Saccharomyces cerevisiae S288C: one gene and its partners. Changing the gene in region 1 together with any one later gene gives a genetic interaction. Each region holds a gene or a part of one and is shown in the gene's direction. Other genes may lie near its edges. The genes, in order: COG8, ARL1, GYP1 and YPT6.

What was found.
Region 2: mutations in COG8 (region 1) and ARL1 together harm fitness more than expected from each alone (negative genetic interaction), as found in Saccharomyces cerevisiae (6 studies listed by BioGRID, with this or other methods).
Region 3: mutations in COG8 (region 1) and GYP1 together harm fitness more than expected from each alone (negative genetic interaction), as found in Saccharomyces cerevisiae (6 studies listed by BioGRID, with this or other methods).
Region 4: mutations in COG8 (region 1) and YPT6 together harm fitness more than expected from each alone (negative genetic interaction), as found in Saccharomyces cerevisiae (5 studies listed by BioGRID, with this or other methods).

Annotation. Positions count from the first base shown.
Region 1 is NC_001145.3:128,396-133,786, reverse strand, and holds COG8 (Golgi transport complex subunit COG8), read left to right. Parts: upstream 1-2,214; coding exon 2,215-4,038; downstream 4,039-5,391. Other genes in the region: DAK1 (dihydroxyacetone kinase), read right to left, coding at 1-312; TCB3 (Tcb3p), read left to right, coding at 4,420-5,391. UniProt on the Saccharomyces cerevisiae protein: Acts as a component of the peripheral membrane COG complex that is involved in intra-Golgi protein trafficking.
Region 2 is NC_001134.8:566,771-570,827, reverse strand, and holds ARL1 (Arf family GTPase ARL1), read left to right. Parts: upstream 1-2,401; coding exon 2,402-2,953; downstream 2,954-4,057. Other genes in the region: TYR1 (prephenate dehydrogenase (NADP(+))), read left to right, coding at 1-986; UBS1 (Ubs1p), read right to left, coding at 1,143-1,976; EXO5 (Exo5p), read right to left, coding at 3,348-4,057. UniProt on the Saccharomyces cerevisiae protein: Recruits golgins such as IMH1 to the Golgi. Can bind and hydrolyze GTP. May be involved in trafficking events within the endosomal system.
Region 3 is NC_001147.6:455,407-460,908, reverse strand, and holds GYP1 (GTPase-activating protein GYP1), read left to right. Parts: upstream 1-3,088; coding exon 3,089-5,002; downstream 5,003-5,502. Other genes in the region: NRT1 (nicotinamide riboside transporter), read left to right, coding at 1-1,429; VPS5 (sorting nexin 1), read right to left, coding at 5,114-5,502. UniProt on the Saccharomyces cerevisiae protein: GTPase-activating protein (GAP) that stimulates specifically the intrinsic GTPase activity of Ypt/Rab-type GTPases YPT1 and YPT7. Functions on the Golgi as a negative regulator of YPT1. Functions on the vacuole as a negative regulator of YPT7.
Region 4 is NC_001144.5:666,381-670,635, reverse strand, and holds YPT6 (Rab family GTPase YPT6), read left to right. Parts: upstream 1-1,744; coding exon 1,745-2,392; downstream 2,393-4,255. Other genes in the region: RED1 (Red1p), read right to left, coding at 1-296; TMA7 (Tma7p), read left to right, coding at 974-1,168; VPS63 (Vps63p), read left to right, coding at 2,073-2,399; sphinganine kinase LCB5, read right to left, coding at 2,729-4,255. UniProt on the Saccharomyces cerevisiae protein: Protein transport. Might participate in post-Golgi transport.

The DNA of each region.
Region 1 (5,391 bases):
GTTCTTCACAATCAATAAAACGCCAGACGCATTTTCATTGACTAAACGGATTGCATTTAAAATCTGTTTTGTTGAAGGGGATGCAAAAATTTCGCCAACCACGGCGCCACTCAACATACCCTTACCAATGAAACCGGCGTGTGTAGGTTCATGTCCACTACCACCACCAGAAATTAATGCGATCTTGTCGGAATCGGTCTTTCTGAAGAGAATTTTTTCTTCAGGGACCAGCGTAATGGAGGGGTTAGCAAGGGCAAACCCTTTGAGACTTGAATTGACTGGATCTGTGACTTCAAACGATTTAGCGGACATTTAAAATTTAGTCTTAGATATAGAATGTAATCTTATTCTTTGATGTGTTCGTTTACAGTTGCTACAAATAGTGACTACTTGTAGCGAAGTTGAAGTGATTTTCTCCTTATATATTTATTCATCAGTTAGTTCGACAGACGCTCGCGAGGTGGCCACTCTTTCAAAATGACGCAATTGGGAGTGGTTTGATCTTTCTCCCTTAGAAGCCAAATTGGCAAGCACTCACTCCGGGCCAGATTTACACCATGTTTGTAGCGCATTTAAATCAGGAAATGCATTATATTTCACTCTCTCGTCTAGCGAGTCTTAATGTTCATGACGGGGGAGCTTTATGCCTTGTTTTTTATCACAGCGCCAGACAATTGACAGTAACAAATAAAGGCAAAAAACCCTTGAATAGCACCAGAGGTGTTTACTGATTGCTTTTAAAGTACGTATAAAACTGTAAAATATAGATTAAATTCGACCGCCATTACTTTAGAGTTGAAATTGGGAAGCCGTATATTGCCATTTCAGCCATGCTTCTATGGTTCCTAATGGAAGCATGAATGACATACGCAATTTGATGAGCTTGAAAAGGGCGTAATTGACAAGCCAGATTTGAATCTAATCCCTTGAGAAATTATCTGCAAGTAGTAAAAAAATCTCTAAAAGATGTATAATTGAGTCGCCTAGAGACCTCATTCATCATGATATTTGACACCTTAATTTTGATAGTAGCGGGTCAGTCATTAAGAAGAAAGTGAGCTGGGGCTAATCATCAACGATCTCCCATAATTACGTACGTCAAAGACAACACGTTGGCAAAGGTAAGAAGAACGTAGTGCGTATCATGCTTACGGTGAATTTCACCCTTTTTTTCTGTTATTCGTGCTGATCCACGGGGTATTCAATTGAAGATATTATCTTTATCATCATATCGGTAAGCGTCTGGGAGAAGCAACTGGTCAAACGTTTTCAAAAACCATTCTTTAAACAACAAACCGATCAATGTTCTTGATCAGCTTATCAATCTATCCGATCTCCTGCGTTCAGCGTGACCGCCACACTTATGTCTAGATAATTTAACTTCCAGTTGCTAATTTCCCGCTAAAGTATCTTATGTTTACCATCACTGTAGCCGCCCTATCATATGCAACACTTCCATACTCATTTTCGGAATAAGAAGCAACTATCATCTAACGACTAGTATTTATATTACTGGTATATTACCATATTGGGTATAAGACGGTCAAATAAATATTGAGAAACAGTCACCAATTTTAATGGAAATTGAAATGAAAGGGTTGATAATGTGCTAGGAAAATGAACGAGAACATACAAAATGAAAGAAGAAATAATAATATTCCTACACAGAAATATCGGTTCTCTATTGTGGATTTTCATATTCTCGAGGAGAACCTCTAGTACATTTTGTGTATCTGGTATCACAGCGCTTGACAACTATAGAATTTAAACAATTATCTCATTCTTCATCCATCACTCAATCATATATATTAACCCCGGAAAAGTGCATTTTTGGTTTCTAATAACATTTGTATTAGTAATATTTGTTTACCCAACAATTCAAGAAATTTAGCTCGCGTGGCGTAATGGCAACGCGTCTGACTTCTAATCAGAAGATTATGGGTTCGACCCCCATCGTGAGTGCTTTGTTTCTTCTTTTTTGAATATGCTAATTCTAAATTTATAGGAAGAGTTGGATTTTCCTTTAGTTAGTTGTACTCTTGAAGTCCATTTTCTTTTTATACGTACATTAGATCGATCTCGCGATCATGGCTTCAATGTCTAAAAATATAGCGTAGTAACATACTGAAAAGAGAAGCACAGAAAAAATAATCATAGAAGTGTTAGGACATTTGAGGGAACATATTTCAACAATAAACATAATCATTGAGTAAAATGGAGCTGATACTAAACAGCCTCATTTCTGATGATTTAACAGAGGAACAAAAACGGTTAAGTCTTGATTTCCTACAGGATATCCTACAATCTAACACGAAAGACTATGAAAGTTATTTTTCATCTAGGGCTGTTCCTGGTAGCATAACTGAAGACATAGCAGAAATTGATGCTGAATTATCTGCCCTTGATAGAAAGATAAGGAAAACACTACTAGATAATACGTCTCAGATTATCGGAAATATTCTTGAAAACGATGATAGGGCTCAATTGGATGATATAGCCAAGTCTTTGGAGCAATTATGGGAATTGGATACTAATATTAATAAGGCAGCCGATCGAAACGTTACAAATGACGATATAAACAATGAAAGCGTTTCTATTGATGACTTTTTGGAAGACGATAAAGAAGACAACGACACAGGTCGCATCATGACGACTGAGAGTAACAATCTGGCAAGAAAGAAGAAGGAGGATGAGTTTCACAAGGCATTAAGTAGGTTAAGAAACAGAATTTCAACTAAAGAAGATGACAAGGACGACATTAGATCTGACACATTAGTCACTGTACTAGAAAATTTGGATAGCATTACGGATTTGATGGAACTACCATTTTTGGCCCGCACATGTATCAGAACAGGTCATTACCAGGAGGCCGTCATGCTATACACACACACTACTTCCCTGAGGTCAAGATTCCCTGGTTCAACCATTGTGGATGAAGTTTGCGAAAAAGTTTTAAACGAAATTAGTACTACCATGTTATCCGGGCTGGTAAAATTACTGTCTACTAATGTATCAGTAAACTCACTAAAGAAAATACTACAGTACTTGAATTCAATTCCACCATTTGATGGAAAGACTAATAAATCATTATTAAGTGTGTTTTTAGCCATGAGATACAAATTCATTACCGATGAAATAGCATCATATCCTTTGGACGTTGAGTCTTCTAATGAATCTTTAATTGAAATGATGGTTAAGAGGAAAATTGAAGTCCTCAGGGAACATGTCTACATGTCCTTGAATGTCTTTCTGAAAAGCTTCTTGTATGATACAAATGACTTAGAGATTCCTTTCCCAGAGGAACTAGAAAGTACTGTGCTAAGGATAAATGGGACTAACGAAGAGAAAGAAATTGAAGAAAAGGAGAAAGAAACAAAGAAGGAAGAATATCAAAAACAAGATAGCGTAGCGAACAATGAAGAAGATGTGACAGAAAATAAATCGATAGAAGATGTACAAGAGGAAGTACAAGGCAAAGTGGAAGGCGAAGATGATGGAGCAGAAAGGAAAACAGAAAATGAGATAGAAAATGAAACAGTAAACAAAACAGAAGACAAGGCTGAAAAAGAAAAAGAGGAAGAAGTAAATACCAAAGATAACAAGGCAGAAAAAGAGGAAGAAGAAATTAATAAGGTTGAGGTGACCCCAGAAGAGCCAAGCAAAAGCATAGATAACAAGGCAGAAAAAGAAGAAGAAGAAATTAATAAGGTTGAAGTGACCCCAGAGGAGCCAAGCAAAAAGATTCGGACTTCAAAAAGGGAAAACAAAATACCTACAAATGCAGTCATGTTGCAATTCGTTGATAAGTGCATAACATACGTATTAAAAGACCTCACTCGTGGGTTAAATAGCATCAAGCTGAGTGACTCCGTTTGCCTGCAGTTGGTGTACTGTTCATTCCGTCTTTGCGACCTGAATCGAAACTACCACCACCTCTTCCTAAAAAAAATCAATGACACTAGCTTGTTTACGACCGAGCAGCTCGCCCGGGCAATTGACAAGAGAGCAGAACTGGCCTCTAAATATATATACTCCTAGTATAATATTGGCTCACTATGTATTTTCAAAATGACGATCGTCCGAAATTTCCATTTTTTTATTTTTTTTTTTCACTTCTTCGCCAGCGCGAGAAGGGGGAGAAACAACAATACGAGAATGTATGTATACCTTTACAACACACTGCTGCAGTCAGAAAGGGAAAAAGGGATAATTGTACCTTACATCCTTTAGAATTGCACTTACCTTTTCCAATTGCGATACATTTCACTTTGATAGACAACTTTGCTTTTTAGCGTTACTTAATTTAATCAGTTTTCTTCTTAACAATATAAAGAGCATCATTAGCTAGCTTTGTTTATTGACATACGCAATATTGCTAGAAAGAAAATAAGTAGAGCTACGCATTGAAAGTCAAGAAAAATGACTGGCATCAAAGCTCAAGTCCATCCCCCACCTGATAGTACCCTATTTCATGAGGAGGAGAAGAAGAAAGTAGGAGGCAATTTACCTCAAAAGGTCATAAATCAACAAGAAAGGGGTTCTGATCACGCTCCATCGGGTCACCATCAATACCACCAACTGATTAACCATGACGCAAATGACACAAAGACCTCAAATTCAGTTTCTGATGTGTCTAAAGGTCAGAAAACTGCTGACTCCAACCCGGAAGGTAAGAAACAGTCATCAAAAGACATATTTGTTGCCTCCAGCGCTCAAAAAACCAATCAATTGCCCGGTCCCAACCCACAGGGAAGCATAGGAGCCGTGCCATTGGAAGGTTTACGTCCGAAGGAATTCAGATCAGCACCATCTAGGAAGCCAAATAAATTCGACACTTCGATTACTAAGCCTGGCGTCTTAGACGACTTAGGCAAACTTGATGAAAAGGATATTAAGGAAAAATTTCACCTAGATTCCGACGACAAGTTATTTCCATGGCAAAATGTTGGTGAGTTCCATGCTTCAGGAAAGGGTTCGCCAAATACAAAGATGTCCAGGGTTATAAAAGCTTACATTCTGGAAAATTTTTATAACGATTGGTACTGTAATATAGCCACCGTTCTTGGAACTTGTTTCTTCTCATGGTTATTTGCTTACATTGGGTTTTCATGGTGGTCTATGATATTTATCTTCTTGGGAACTGCGACCGTTTACAACGCAGAATATACAAGATTCAACAGAAATATCAGAGATGACTTGAAAAGAGTTACAGTCGAAGAAACCTTGTCGGATCGCGTTGAATCCACTACGTGGTTGAATTCATTTTTATCAAAATTTTGGGTGATTTACATGCCAGTTTTATCTCAACAAGTCAAAGATAACGTTAACCCTCAACTGGCAGGTGTTGCTCCAGGTTACGGTATCGATGCGTTAGCTATCGATGAATTCACT
Region 2 (4,057 bases), on another chromosome or scaffold:
ACATCATTACCGTGCATTCCCTTCATGGGCCTAAAGTTAATACTGAAGGCCAACCACTAGTTATTATCAATCACAGATCACAGTACCCAGAATCTTTTGAGTTCGTTAATTCTGTTATGGCATGTTTGAAAAGTAAGCAAGTTTATTTGACATATGAAGAGCATGACAAGATTACCGCTGATACACAAGCTGTGACACATGCTGCTTTCTTAAGTATGGGATCTGCGTGGGCAAAGATAAAGATTTATCCTTGGACTCTGGGTGTAAACAAATGGTACGGTGGCCTAGAAAATGTGAAAGTTAATATATCACTAAGAATCTATTCGAACAAGTGGCATGTTTACGCAGGATTAGCCATAACAAACCCAAGTGCACATCAGCAAATTCTTCAATATGCAACCAGTGCAACAGAACTATTTAGTTTAATGATAGATAACAAAGAACAAGAACTTACTGATAGACTATTAAAAGCTAAGCAATTTGTATTTGGAAAGCATACTGGTCTCTTACTATTGGATGACACGATTTTAGAGAAATATTCGCTATCAAAAAGCAGCATTGGTAACAGCAACAATTGCAAGCCAGTGCCGAATTCACATTTATCATTGTTGGCGATTGTTGATTCGTGGTTTCAACTTGGTATTGATCCATATGATCATATGATTTGTTCGACGCCATTATTCAGAATATTCCTGGGTGTGTCCGAATATCTTTTTTTAAAACCTGGCTTATTAGAACAGACAATTGATGCAGCTATCCATGATAAATCATTCATAAAAGATGATTTAGAATTTGTTATTTCGGCTAGAGAATGGAGCTCGGTTGTTTCTTTTGCCAATTTTGATATATACAAAAAGCAATTTCAGAGTGTTCAAAAGTTCTTTGAGCCAATGCTTCCAGAGGCTAATCTCATTGGCAACGAGATGATAAAAACCATTCTGAGTCATTCTAGTGACCGTTCGGCCGCTGAAAAAAGAAATACATAATGTTTTTAATGCTGATTTCCTATAATATTAGGCCTTCTTTTGTGAAAAGGAGTATATTTATATAACTGAATAAAAATATATATTGTGACAAATGCCCATGCAAAAAATCGTGAAAAAAGGAAGAAAGTTCTACTATTCTATGTAAAAATAAACCCATTAGATTTTTTTCCTCTTTGTGTAATGCTCACTACCGCGATTATCGTTCGTTTCATCTGGACATGCCAACGTTCTTGACCTTTTAGAACTTACGACCGGATGAATACTGTCATCATCACATGCAAGTAAGTTTTTGGTCATAAAGTCGATAGCATTGTAGTCATGTGTCCTTTTGTTAACGTTATTATTGTTGAGAGTAGATAACATACTAGACTTTCCTATGCTGCTGTTAGTATAAGGGTTCTTGCTGTTGTCTTGTGCGTGAAAGGTGTGGCTTTGAGCATTGTAAGAGGACATAAATTCATTGACACTGCCACCATTACTATTGCTGATATTATGATTTTTGGAATAGCTCTTTACTATAGAGTAATCACCTGGTTGTAAAGTACCTATCAGTTCCGGAAAATAAGATTTAAAGTCCTTATATATAATCCTATTCCACGCCCTGTTGAATTTTACCGTTGACGGTGAATACTGTAAGTCTTCCGTTGCTTGAATATGAAAAAGCGGTTGCCATATGTGGAAAAGTAAATCCTGTAATCCCAAGTCTTTCAATAAAAGATAGTTTAAGTGTGTCATCGAAACCGTTCTGTTAATTGGAAAGCAACAATTTGGAGACAGACATTTCATGATGATATATGGATCCTGGTCGTTTCCGCCAATATAAAGTAGTAGATATACTTCCAAAGAAGTCCTGGGCTCGTACATTACCACGTGCCAAAGATGTAAGTCTGAATCATGTGGCCTTACATGAAAAAGACCTTGGGTCTTCTCAGGATGGCGCATAAAATATTTCCAATCCTTCAGCAATTTCCTTGTTAAAGAGTAAGCCATAATTATTAGCTTTTTGATTAAAATATAAAAAAATCTGTTTAGCTCTTATATCGCCTCCTCGCACAAAATCACGACAAAGGCAACGTTAGATTGATGCTCTCAAAACATACTAAGAATGTGTTCTATGATATATATGGGAAGAGTAGGTTAAATATTTCTTATGACAATAACAAAACCCACTGCATCGTACAGGACGGGTAACAGAGCCCTTTCCAATTGAAATTTTGAATAAAACTATTTTGCCTATAAAAGTTAGATTTACGACAATTAATATTAGGCAGAATGTTCTCGGAACTTTCAAGTAGTAAAGGATTGCGTGGTTCATTTGTATTTACGAAACGGTGAGTAATAAGGTTTCTAAAACCAAAGGAAAAATAAAGAAAGATCTAAGAAGAAAGTTCCAGTAAAGTGAGTTATAGATCAAGATGGGTAACATTTTTAGTTCAATGTTTGACAAACTATGGGGTTCAAACAAAGAATTGCGTATATTGATTTTGGGTTTGGATGGTGCAGGTAAAACTACCATCTTATATCGTTTACAAATTGGCGAAGTAGTCACTACAAAGCCAACCATTGGTTTCAATGTAGAGACGCTAAGTTATAAAAACTTAAAATTGAACGTCTGGGATCTTGGTGGTCAAACAAGTATCAGGCCCTACTGGAGGTGTTATTATGCAGACACTGCTGCAGTTATTTTCGTTGTTGATTCGACTGATAAAGATCGTATGTCTACAGCCTCTAAGGAACTTCATTTGATGTTACAGGAAGAAGAATTGCAAGATGCAGCACTGCTGGTTTTTGCAAATAAACAAGACCAACCGGGTGCATTAAGTGCCAGTGAAGTCTCCAAAGAACTGAATCTTGTAGAATTGAAGGACAGAAGTTGGTCTATCGTAGCATCCAGTGCAATTAAAGGCGAAGGTATTACCGAAGGTTTAGATTGGTTGATTGATGTTATAAAAGAGGAACAGTTATAGCGATAAAGATTTGCAAAAAAAAAGTGTAGATGCATACTTTTTAAATGGCATTGAATATACATATAATTTGTTTTGTAACTGAATTATCAAGGAGCTCTATCCAAACATAATAGAGTTAGTAAGTGTATACATGTTTCTCTTTGGGTTTTAATTCTAAAGGCAATTACATCGTTCCGATGAATGAGAAGGCCGCATTAAAATACCTAATGACCTCTTAATGAAAGTTGCATATATACATTTAAATTAAATTGTCATTTCAATTCCGATTTATTGAAACAGGACGTCCGAAAGCAGAAACAGATTTATGTGCTTAATAACCCAATAAAGGACTTCAATGTATTCACGAAACAACACCCTTTTAATAACTAGAATAAATAATGTTACAATACCTACACTACTTCATACTTGATTCAAGAATAATTTTTTTTAATTCTTTCCCTAGATCAATAAGTTTCAATTCATTTTTATTTTTCCAAGAACAAACGTGTCTGTAGTCACAAAACTTACAGTATGTGTTGAAGTTTTTTTGAGTAGGCTCAATTGGATGCATATCTCTGCCACCAAACCAAACCATTGCAGAATCATGGGCATGGGTTCCCAGTTTCAAGGGATCATATGGGAAGATGATATTGTGGAAATTATCGTTATGGTAATAATATTCTATCATTAAATCATTCGAAACGAGATTACCCACAATAAAATAGATCTGTGATAACCTTGCCGCAAAGTATTTCAAAGTTAGAGGTGTCTTCCATTTCGTATAAAAATGTCCATAATCTCGCAAAGATACACATTTTGTTGACTCCGAACTATCTTCGTCTTGCTCAATCGGAACGTTAAAAGATGTGGGACCTCTATCCAGCAAATCATTGAACGCGGTCATATCAAATGTATTAGAGCCTTTGGCGTCGTTATCGAAAGCAGAATGATTTATCGGTAGTCCGTACAGGAGGTTCTTCACATCATTAGCGAAGAGTGGGTTTGTTAGTATGAATGTTAAAATCTTGGTAGGATTTATGGGCGCATCAACGTCGAGTCCTCTTCTCTGGGCATTGATTAAAAAGCTATGGTAGGTTTGTGTCATGTCTTGACTAAGGTGGGAAA
Region 3 (5,502 bases), on another chromosome or scaffold:
CATCATTAGAATTTTGATGAGTATTGTCAATTATGGTTCCAACGCTTGGTTGGGTGGTCTATCTATCAACATGATATTAGATTCCTGGTCCCACCACTATCTGCACCTGCCCAATACTTTGTCCCCAAGTGTTGCCATGACCACCAAGCAGTTGGTCGGCTTCATTATTTTCCACGTCCTCACCGCGCTCTGCTATTTCATGAAACCCTACCATATGAACTACCTTTTAATTTGGTCATGTGTAGCTACTTGCTTTGCCATGCTGGGTATAGTGATTTACTTGACTAAGAATGCCCATGGTGTCGGTGAATTGTTTACCTCCACAAAATCTACCGTTACTGGTTCTAAAAGAGCATGGGCTTGGGTTTACATGATTTCATACTGGTTCGGTTCCATTTCTCCAGGTTCCACCAACCAAAGTGACTATTCAAGATTCGGTTCCTCCAATTTGGCTATCTGGACCGGTAGCGTCTGTGCATTACTAATCCCAGCAACCTTGGTCCCAATCTTCGGTGTCATTAGTGCCTCCACCTGCGACAAATTATACGGTAAACAATTTTGGATGCCCATGGATATATTCGATTATTGGTTGACAAACAACTATTCTGCAGGCGCTCGCGCAGGTGCCTTCTTCTGTGGTCTTTGCTTTACCATGTCTCAAATGTCCTCCACCATCTCCAACTGTGGGTTTGCCACTGGTATGGATATGGCCGGTTTGTTGCCCAAATACGTCGATATCAAGAGAGGTGCTCTTTTTTGCGCATGTATCTCCTGGGCTTGTTTGCCATGGAACTTCTACAACTCTTCTTCTACTTTCTTAACTGTCATGAGTTCTTTCGGTGTTGTCATGACTCCTATTATTGCTGTCATGATCTGTGATAACTTTCTGATCAGGAAGAGGCAATATTCCATTACTAATGCCTTTATTCTAAAGGGTGAATACTATTTTACCAAGGGTGTCAACTGGAGAGCTATCGTTGCCTGGGTGTGTGGTATGGCTCCCGGTCTACCTGGTATCGCTTGGGAAGTCAACAATAACTATTTCCACGACTCAGGTATTGTTAAATTCTTTTATGGTGATTCTTTCTTCTCCTTTTTGATTTCTTTTTTCGTTTACTGGGGGCTATGTGTCTTCTTCCCATTCAAAATTACTGTTAGACATGATGACAAAGATTACTATGGTGCATTTACCGACGAAGAAGCGAGAAAGAAGGGCATGATTCCATACAGTGAAATTTCTGAGGAAGAAATCCGTGCTTACACGTTAGGCGAATGCTACACAACTGGACACGAATACAAACCTGAGAGTTCTGATAACGAATCACCTGAATTGATCAAAACTAGCTCAGAAAACACTAACGTATTTGAAATCGTTCACCAAAAGGATGATGAAAAGCACTCCTTTAGTACCACTCAACAAGTTGTCTGATGACAAAGAATCCGATAAAATGAAGATCTCAAATATACAAAGAGGAAACTTCAACGCTTCATTTGAAAATCTGTACAGATCTTACAATTTGGGAATACTACCAGATCGATCCTCAGCTGCAAATACTTTACTGTCAAGTATGTCTATGGTGACAAATATCGGCATTATTGTGTATGGCTCAATAATTTTATAAAAAAAGGAACTATTGGTTCTTAGTATTTTCTTGCTAGAAGACATATTCTTACCAATCCTTTCATAAGCTAATTATGCCATCCATATAGCAAGAGAATCCGGTGGGGGCGCCATGCCTATCCGGCGGCAACATTATTACTCTGGTATACGGGCGTAACTCCATAATATGCCACCACTTACCTTTAACATGTTCATGGTAGGTACCCCACCCAGCCATAAGGAAATTTTCAAAGGCGTTGGATCAAAAAATAGGCCTTTATTTCATCGCGTGATTGAGGAGCATAACATGTTTAGTGAAGGTTTCTTTTGGAAAACTTCAGTCGCTCATTATTAGAACCAGGGAGGTCCAGGCTTTGCTGGTGGGAGAGAAAGCTTATGAAGCTGGGGTTGCAGATTTGTCGATTGGTCGCCAGTACACAGTTTTAAAAAGTCAGAGAATGTAGAGAAGTATGGATCTTTGAAACCCTTTTATTTTATTTTACTTTTTTTAGAATGACCTGTTCCCGACACTATGTAAGATCTAGCTTTTAACATATTATGGAAACCTGAAATGTAAAATCTGAATTTTTGTATATGTGTTTATATTTGGGTAGTTCTTTTGAGGAAAGCATGCATAGACTTGCTGTACGAACTTTATGTGACTTGTAGTGACGCTGTTTCATGAGACTTTAGCCCTTTGAACATATTATCATATCTCAGCTTGAAATACTATAGATTTACTTTTGCAGCCATTTCTTGGTGCTCCAAGGTTGTGCGTATCTATTACTTAATTTCTGTCCTTGCCAAGTTTTGCAGCAGGGCGGTCACAAGACTCCTCTGCCGTCATTCCTTAGTCCTTCGGGAACACACTTATTTATGTATTTGTATTCTACAATTCTACGGTGCACAAGGGTTGGGCACTGTTGAGCTCAGCACGCAACTATTGCTGGCATGAAGATAAGATTGATTTTTGGAAGAATAAGCTTGTGGAAGTTACCTGTCTCTTATTTTTTTTTCCTTTTTGCACTTTTTTTTGGTGATCACTTAGGTAACAATCTATAACACAGCAGTATGAACCCACTAGTTAACCATTCTGCGCCGATGGTATACCTTTTTCATTGCTTAATTGTCTGTGAGAGGCTTGATAAGCTAAGGCTCATGGCGATAAATCCACGATGAACTCGTTTAATGCAAAATATAGGTCGCGGCTTGCCGGGTACCAAGTCGCAACAAAGCTCCCCGAATTGTTTCGCCCATTCATCTGACAGGACAGAATGCCAAACATATGATGCATGATGCAGCAAAGAGCACAGTAATCACTATTTTCTGCATATCATATAGCCAGATTGCTATAGTGTTTGGCTTTTGTCCTGCTGTTAATTGTTTTGTTTTCTTTCTATTTTTATAACTATTATTGGAGAGTAGATCAAGGATACAAATAACAACAACAACCACCAATACCGACCACTTAATAAAAGTAACCATATAATGGGTGTGAGATCCGCTGCAAAGGAAATGCACGAACGGGACCATAATTCGGACAGTTCCAGTTTAGTAACTTCCCTGATGAAATCTTGGAGGATATCGTCGGCTTCTTCCTCCAAGAAGCCATCGTTATACAAAATGAATACTACTGAATCTACTAGTTTACCCTCGGGTTATGCTTCCTCGGCAGATAGAGATCGGAGAACCAGTGACGGTAATTTTGAAGCTATGGCAAAGCAACAAGCAAGCACTAGACGTACCTCGAATTCCTATTCACCTCTACGATATGTAAACCCCACTCTAAGCACTGCAAGTAACGAAAGTCCCCGGCCTGCTTTACTCTTACGTCAGCATCACCAGCGTCATCACCACCATCAACAACCCCGCCATAGCAGTAGTGGTAGTGTAGGCAACAATTGCAGTAACAGTACAGAGCCTAACAAAAAGGGTGATCGATATTTCAAAGACTTAGATGAGGATTGGAGTGCTGTTATTGACGATTATAATATGCCTATTCCTATACTTACTAACGGTGGATTTGGTACACCTGTAGCTCCAACGAGAACTTTGTCGCGAAAATCCACTTCTTCTTCCATCAATTCGATTTCGAATATGGGGACCTCCGCAGTACGGAATTCTTCCTCCTCTTTTACATACCCTCAATTACCACAGCTGCAAAAAGAGAAAACAAATGATTCCAAGAAAACTCAGTTGGAAATCGAAAACGAACGGGATGTTCAAGAATTAAACTCCATCATCCAGCGCATTTCTAAATTTGACAATATTTTGAAAGATAAGACAATCATAAATCAACAGGATCTGCGCCAGATCAGTTGGAATGGTATCCCAAAAATACACAGGCCTGTTGTTTGGAAATTATTAATAGGTTATTTGCCTGTGAACACCAAGAGACAGGAGGGTTTCTTACAAAGGAAGAGGAAAGAATATAGGGATAGTCTGAAACATACCTTTTCTGACCAGCACTCAAGAGATATCCCAACTTGGCATCAGATAGAGATAGATATACCGAGAACAAATCCCCACATTCCCCTCTACCAGTTCAAATCCGTACAGAACAGTTTACAACGAATACTATATCTTTGGGCAATCAGGCATCCTGCTAGCGGATATGTGCAAGGTATTAATGATTTAGTTACACCATTTTTCGAGACTTTTCTTACCGAATATCTGCCGCCTTCACAAATAGATGATGTAGAGATAAAGGACCCCTCTACTTATATGGTAGATGAACAGATTACAGATTTAGAAGCGGACACGTTTTGGTGTCTTACCAAATTGCTCGAACAAATTACCGATAACTATATTCACGGACAACCAGGCATATTAAGACAAGTGAAGAATTTGAGTCAGCTAGTGAAACGAATTGATGCTGATCTATATAACCATTTTCAAAATGAACATGTGGAGTTTATACAGTTTGCATTCAGATGGATGAATTGCCTTTTGATGAGAGAATTTCAAATGGGTACAGTAATAAGGATGTGGGACACATATTTATCTGAAACTTCACAAGAGGTCACTTCTTCTTATTCTATGTCGTCCAATGACATTAAACCTCCTGTTACTCCAACAGAACCTCGAGTGGCAAGTTTTGTTACACCAACAAAAGATTTCCAATCTCCCACCACAGCTCTTTCTAATATGACACCAAACAATGCTGTTGAAGACAGTGGAAAAATGAGACAGTCTTCGTTGAATGAGTTTCATGTGTTTGTTTGTGCTGCATTCCTCATCAAGTGGAGTGACCAGCTAATGGAAATGGATTTCCAAGAAACTATAACTTTCTTACAGAACCCTCCTACAAAGGACTGGACTGAAACGGATATTGAAATGCTTCTGAGCGAAGCCTTTATTTGGCAATCTCTTTACAAAGATGCTACGTCGCACTGGCTGTAAACGGACCTATTCATTTTACTTACTGTATAGTATGTAATAATATAAAACAAAAATCTCCTAATTCATAAATCCTGAGGAACGTGACACATAAAGTTATTGTATACAGATCATCTAAAGATTGGTTTGGTAGAATGTCTCCCAAAGCTCGATGCATTCTTTTTGAGATTCAATGGCCGCTTCTAGTGATATTTCCATGCCGTTTCGGAATTCCCGAATTTTATCAGTAGAGAAACCTTGGAATTCATCTTTTATTTTATCTCCTACCGCTTGCCATTGTTTTTTTGTAAGGTTATACCTTCTCTCCAATGTTTGAAATTCCTTTCTCATTTCTCTGAATTTTTCTGAATGAATATTTTGACCCAATTTGCCCAATTGTGAGTGTTTCTTATTCATGTCATTTTCTATTACTACCAAGAAATACCCCAATTTGGATCTCTGATTGAAAATTGCTTTTACGCTTGCCAATGACCTAATATAGTCGTCCAGCATCACACCCATCG
Region 4 (4,255 bases), on another chromosome or scaffold:
GAGTCTTCGTCTATATTAATCTCAGAAGAAAATCTTAATTTTAAAATGAAATGCCAGATATCATCACTTGGAAGATTTGAATCGGTGATTTTAACGGCAACATTTATGATGTGAAATAACAACTCAAAATTTTGAATTACTTCTCTCTTTATTACTAGCAAATGGAGAAATTCCTGCAGTTGTTTAGAAGTTTCCAAAGTCATTAACCCATAGTGGATTCCTTTCGTTTCATTCCTAGTCTGTGCTAAGTCATTTTTCAGGCAAACACCAAAAATCTTTTTCTTCAAACCTTCCATTCTTATCACCGTATTTGCTGTCCCTTTGTGGTCCTCACTGATTAAAAAATCTTTGTTCTATTTTTCTTATTACCTTTAATGCTTCACGAATGATGTGAATGTTTTGCGAATGATGTGATTGAATCCATCTGATCCTGCTGCGAAATCGTAGTTTATTTAGCCGCTGAACCCTTTGAGCAAGTATTTATCGTTTTTAACGTTGAAAAAGTAGTCATATTCAAATTATATAAACCAGCCAATAATACGTTACTTTGCCTTTTTAGATCACACAATTAAGCGGATACAAGATCACCCATCATAAAGGGTTGGCAAACGCCATTGTTTTTGTCGAACCTTACCTGATATCTCCAGAAATCCAATGTATATCTTCTGTATGAAAATATGAATTGTGAGTGCACATGCCTTTTCTAACAGGGAAACCTGTTGTGATTTGTCATTGAATGTGATGAAAAGCTCCTCCAGTCGCCTCGGCTTGGCTTGGCTTGTCTTGGCTTTTTTGGTTTATTCTTTCTGTCCTGAGATAAAAATTGTAGTAAATCTATACTTCTGGAAGTTTCCCGCGACGAAAATGAACGAGGAAAATAAAAAATTTCATGTTTAAAATCCTGTAATTGATTGCTCTTCCACGCACAGTAAGTTGCAAAACCAGAAGAATAACTGAAAAACCCTAAGCAATCATGTCTAGTCGCCAAGGTGGTAAGATGAAGCCTCTAAAGCAAAAGAAGAAGCAACAACAGGACTTAGATCCTGAAGACATTGCCTTCAAAGAGAAGCAAAAGGCCGATGCTGCTGCTAAGAAAGCTTTGATGGCTAATATGAAAAGTGGTAAACCTTTAGTGGGTGGTGGTATCAAAAAATCTGGTAAGAAATAAAAGGCCTTTAACAACGTCTAATAAAAATTTACTCAGTATTTTCTAGTTCTCGTTTTTTAAGTAAATACATATATTACCAAAGAAAAGCTATTTGCAAGATATATCGTTCTTTCCGATGTTTTACAATCGTAATTACTATGTATAATGGTTACATCTAGCAAATTTGGAGGTTTCCTAAATAAAGCCCCTTGCGTGTCTCTCTAGAGGTACGAAAACAACTGATATATAATGGACCCTTTTCTATTGTGGTGACAGGCATAAGGATAAATATTTATAGATGGCTAAGGAAAATAAGAAAAATACTTCTCCCTATTCATGAACCGGGCATCTTGAGTAGAATAGGGTGCTTCTATTCGTTAGTGCTGGTATTAACTTCTAGTGAAAAATGGCCGAATAATTTCCGGGTAATAAAGCCTTCAGCACAGCTCAATTAGTGGAGGAAAATATTGCCCATATATAGATTGTTACTATGTATGATGTAAGAATATCACAATTGGGCACTTAAGGTTGTGTGAAAAGAAGTGTTTGAAGCTGTTGATTCTGAACAGTAAAAGATAAACAAAGAAGAGATTAACAATGAGCAGATCCGGGAAATCATTGACAAAGTACAAAATTGTTTTTTTGGGAGAACAGGGTGTTGGAAAAACATCGCTGATCACTAGATTTATGTATGATACGTTCGATGATCATTACCAAGCCACGATTGGTATAGATTTTCTTTCCAAGACCATGTATTTGGATGATAAGACAATTAGATTACAGTTATGGGATACAGCAGGTCAGGAAAGATTTAGATCATTAATACCTTCATATATCAGAGATTCGAGAGTTGCTATTATCGTTTACGACATTACGAAGAGAAAATCATTTGAATATATTGATAAATGGATAGAAGACGTTAAAAATGAAAGAGGTGACGAAAATGTTATATTGTGCATTGTTGGTAACAAAAGTGATTTATCAGATGAAAGGCAAATCTCAACCGAAGAGGGAGAGAAAAAAGCAAAACTATTGGGTGCTAAAATCTTTATGGAAACGTCCACAAAGGCAGGCTATAATGTCAAAGCTTTATTCAAAAAGATTGCCAAATCGCTGCCTGAATTTCAAAACAGCGAGTCAACTCCTTTGGATAGCGAAAATGCAAATAGTGCAAACCAAAATAAACCGGGAGTCATTGATATTTCTACAGCAGAGGAGCAGGAACAAAGCGCTTGTCAGTGTTAGCACCTAATATTTCAGTTCTATAGGGCATAAGGAGAACTCTTTGTGTGCGTCATATTTTTTAGTGAACTACCAGCACATAATAATTGTACTGATAATATTAATAATAATCATAATCATAATGTACTTGACGATCTGATGTGTAGGAGCTAGTACTCACTAAACATGGTTGTATTAAAGAATGGTATTAAAACTTTTTATAAAGAAGTATGGAGTGTATAAAGTTATCAAACAACAACAAAAACAACAACAACGTAAAAAAAATATAGAAGAAATAGAAATGACATATTCTAGTTTTTGATTAATTGTTCAGTACGAAGGAAAAGATTAAGTAAAGTGTCACATAGAATCGAAATCTGTGTCCACATAACGGCCATTTCTCAGTAACGTCTTGCATAAGCGTGGCATAATTTCGACTTGAAGGGGCTCTAGAGGAAATTTCTCGCCATCGACAGAGAACAAGCCGTTCCCTAGCTTTGGTATTATCTTGTATGCCAAAATTTTAGAGTGTAAGACTTCCGGTTGTAAAACATGGGAACCCTTATCTAGTCCCAGCAGGATTGGTGCCATCCTCGTCAACGAGGTTCTTGCATCGGTGATAACCATATCCATTGTACCATCTGAAGGAAGCGCTGCCGGAAAGAATTTAGTGTCAGCAGCCACATATGGCATTTTACCCGTATAGAAGATACCTAGGTTGTTCGAAATATTAGGATCCAATCTTTCCCAGTCACTAGGGATACCTTCATCTAATGGATATTTTATTTTGAAATCTTCCTCTTTAATTTGATCAGCACTAGAATCTGCCAGATCACGAGATATCAAGTGGGAGTCTTCGTCATCCGCATCCGCATCTTCATCTTCATCTTCGTTTTCGGTTTCGTATTCATTTTCGTAATTGTAATTATCACAATCCTCGTTATCTTTGTTCATAGTAATATGCTGGAATTCTAACGACCCTTTATTTTTGTGTTCCAGGTAATGATTTTTTAACTCGTTTTTTGATTTGGCAGCATACTTTACATATATCTCACAAGGATATTTTTTTTTTTGTATGATATTGAAGGCTACACCCAATTCAAACCTTGCAGGTCCCATCCATCTAATAAATTCAGTGTTTATGTCAGTTTCTGCAATGAGACCATATGTTTGACTTAAAAATGATAACTTTGGGTGCTCTCTTGCATAAGAAGGCTGCGAACAACACATCAAATCAATTCTAGTCTCTATCGATTTAATTAAGCATAAAGTTGAGTACGAAGGATTGTTTGTCCAGTGGCAGGATACGCTCATTGCGTTACCTGATCCGCATGGAATTTCTGTAATGGCGATATTGTTGAATGCTTTGACATGATCAGGCCTTTGGTATAACCCATTGATCACCTCATGAGGAATGCCATCTCCCGAAGCGCAAGCAATAGTGTCATATTTGTCAATATCCATTTCCCGCGCGATCTCTATAGCATGACCAGGGTATTTTGTATAAACCACTTCTATGGAACACCGACTTGCTAATAGTAACGGCTTTGCCTTTGTCATAAACAGTTTTTTCGCCTTACCTTTACCACCAAACGGATTAATGATCACAAATATGGATTTGTTCCTTCTAGTGTTTTTGTAGCTTCTCTTTAAAATCTCCTCAACCAAGTCATCTTCTTCTTTTAAGTGAGAAGATGAATGGGGTTTATAGTCAATATACAATGAAACCCTTTTGGGTACAACGTCATGCCGTCTTGGCCTAGCAAATATAACCTCTACTAGTTTCGTAAAAGGAGATCTGGAAGTCAGGAGGCTACTACTACTGTTACTTCCTCGCGATAGCGAGTTGCCCTTCCTTTCTTTTTTTTGGGAAGACTCTAATTCATC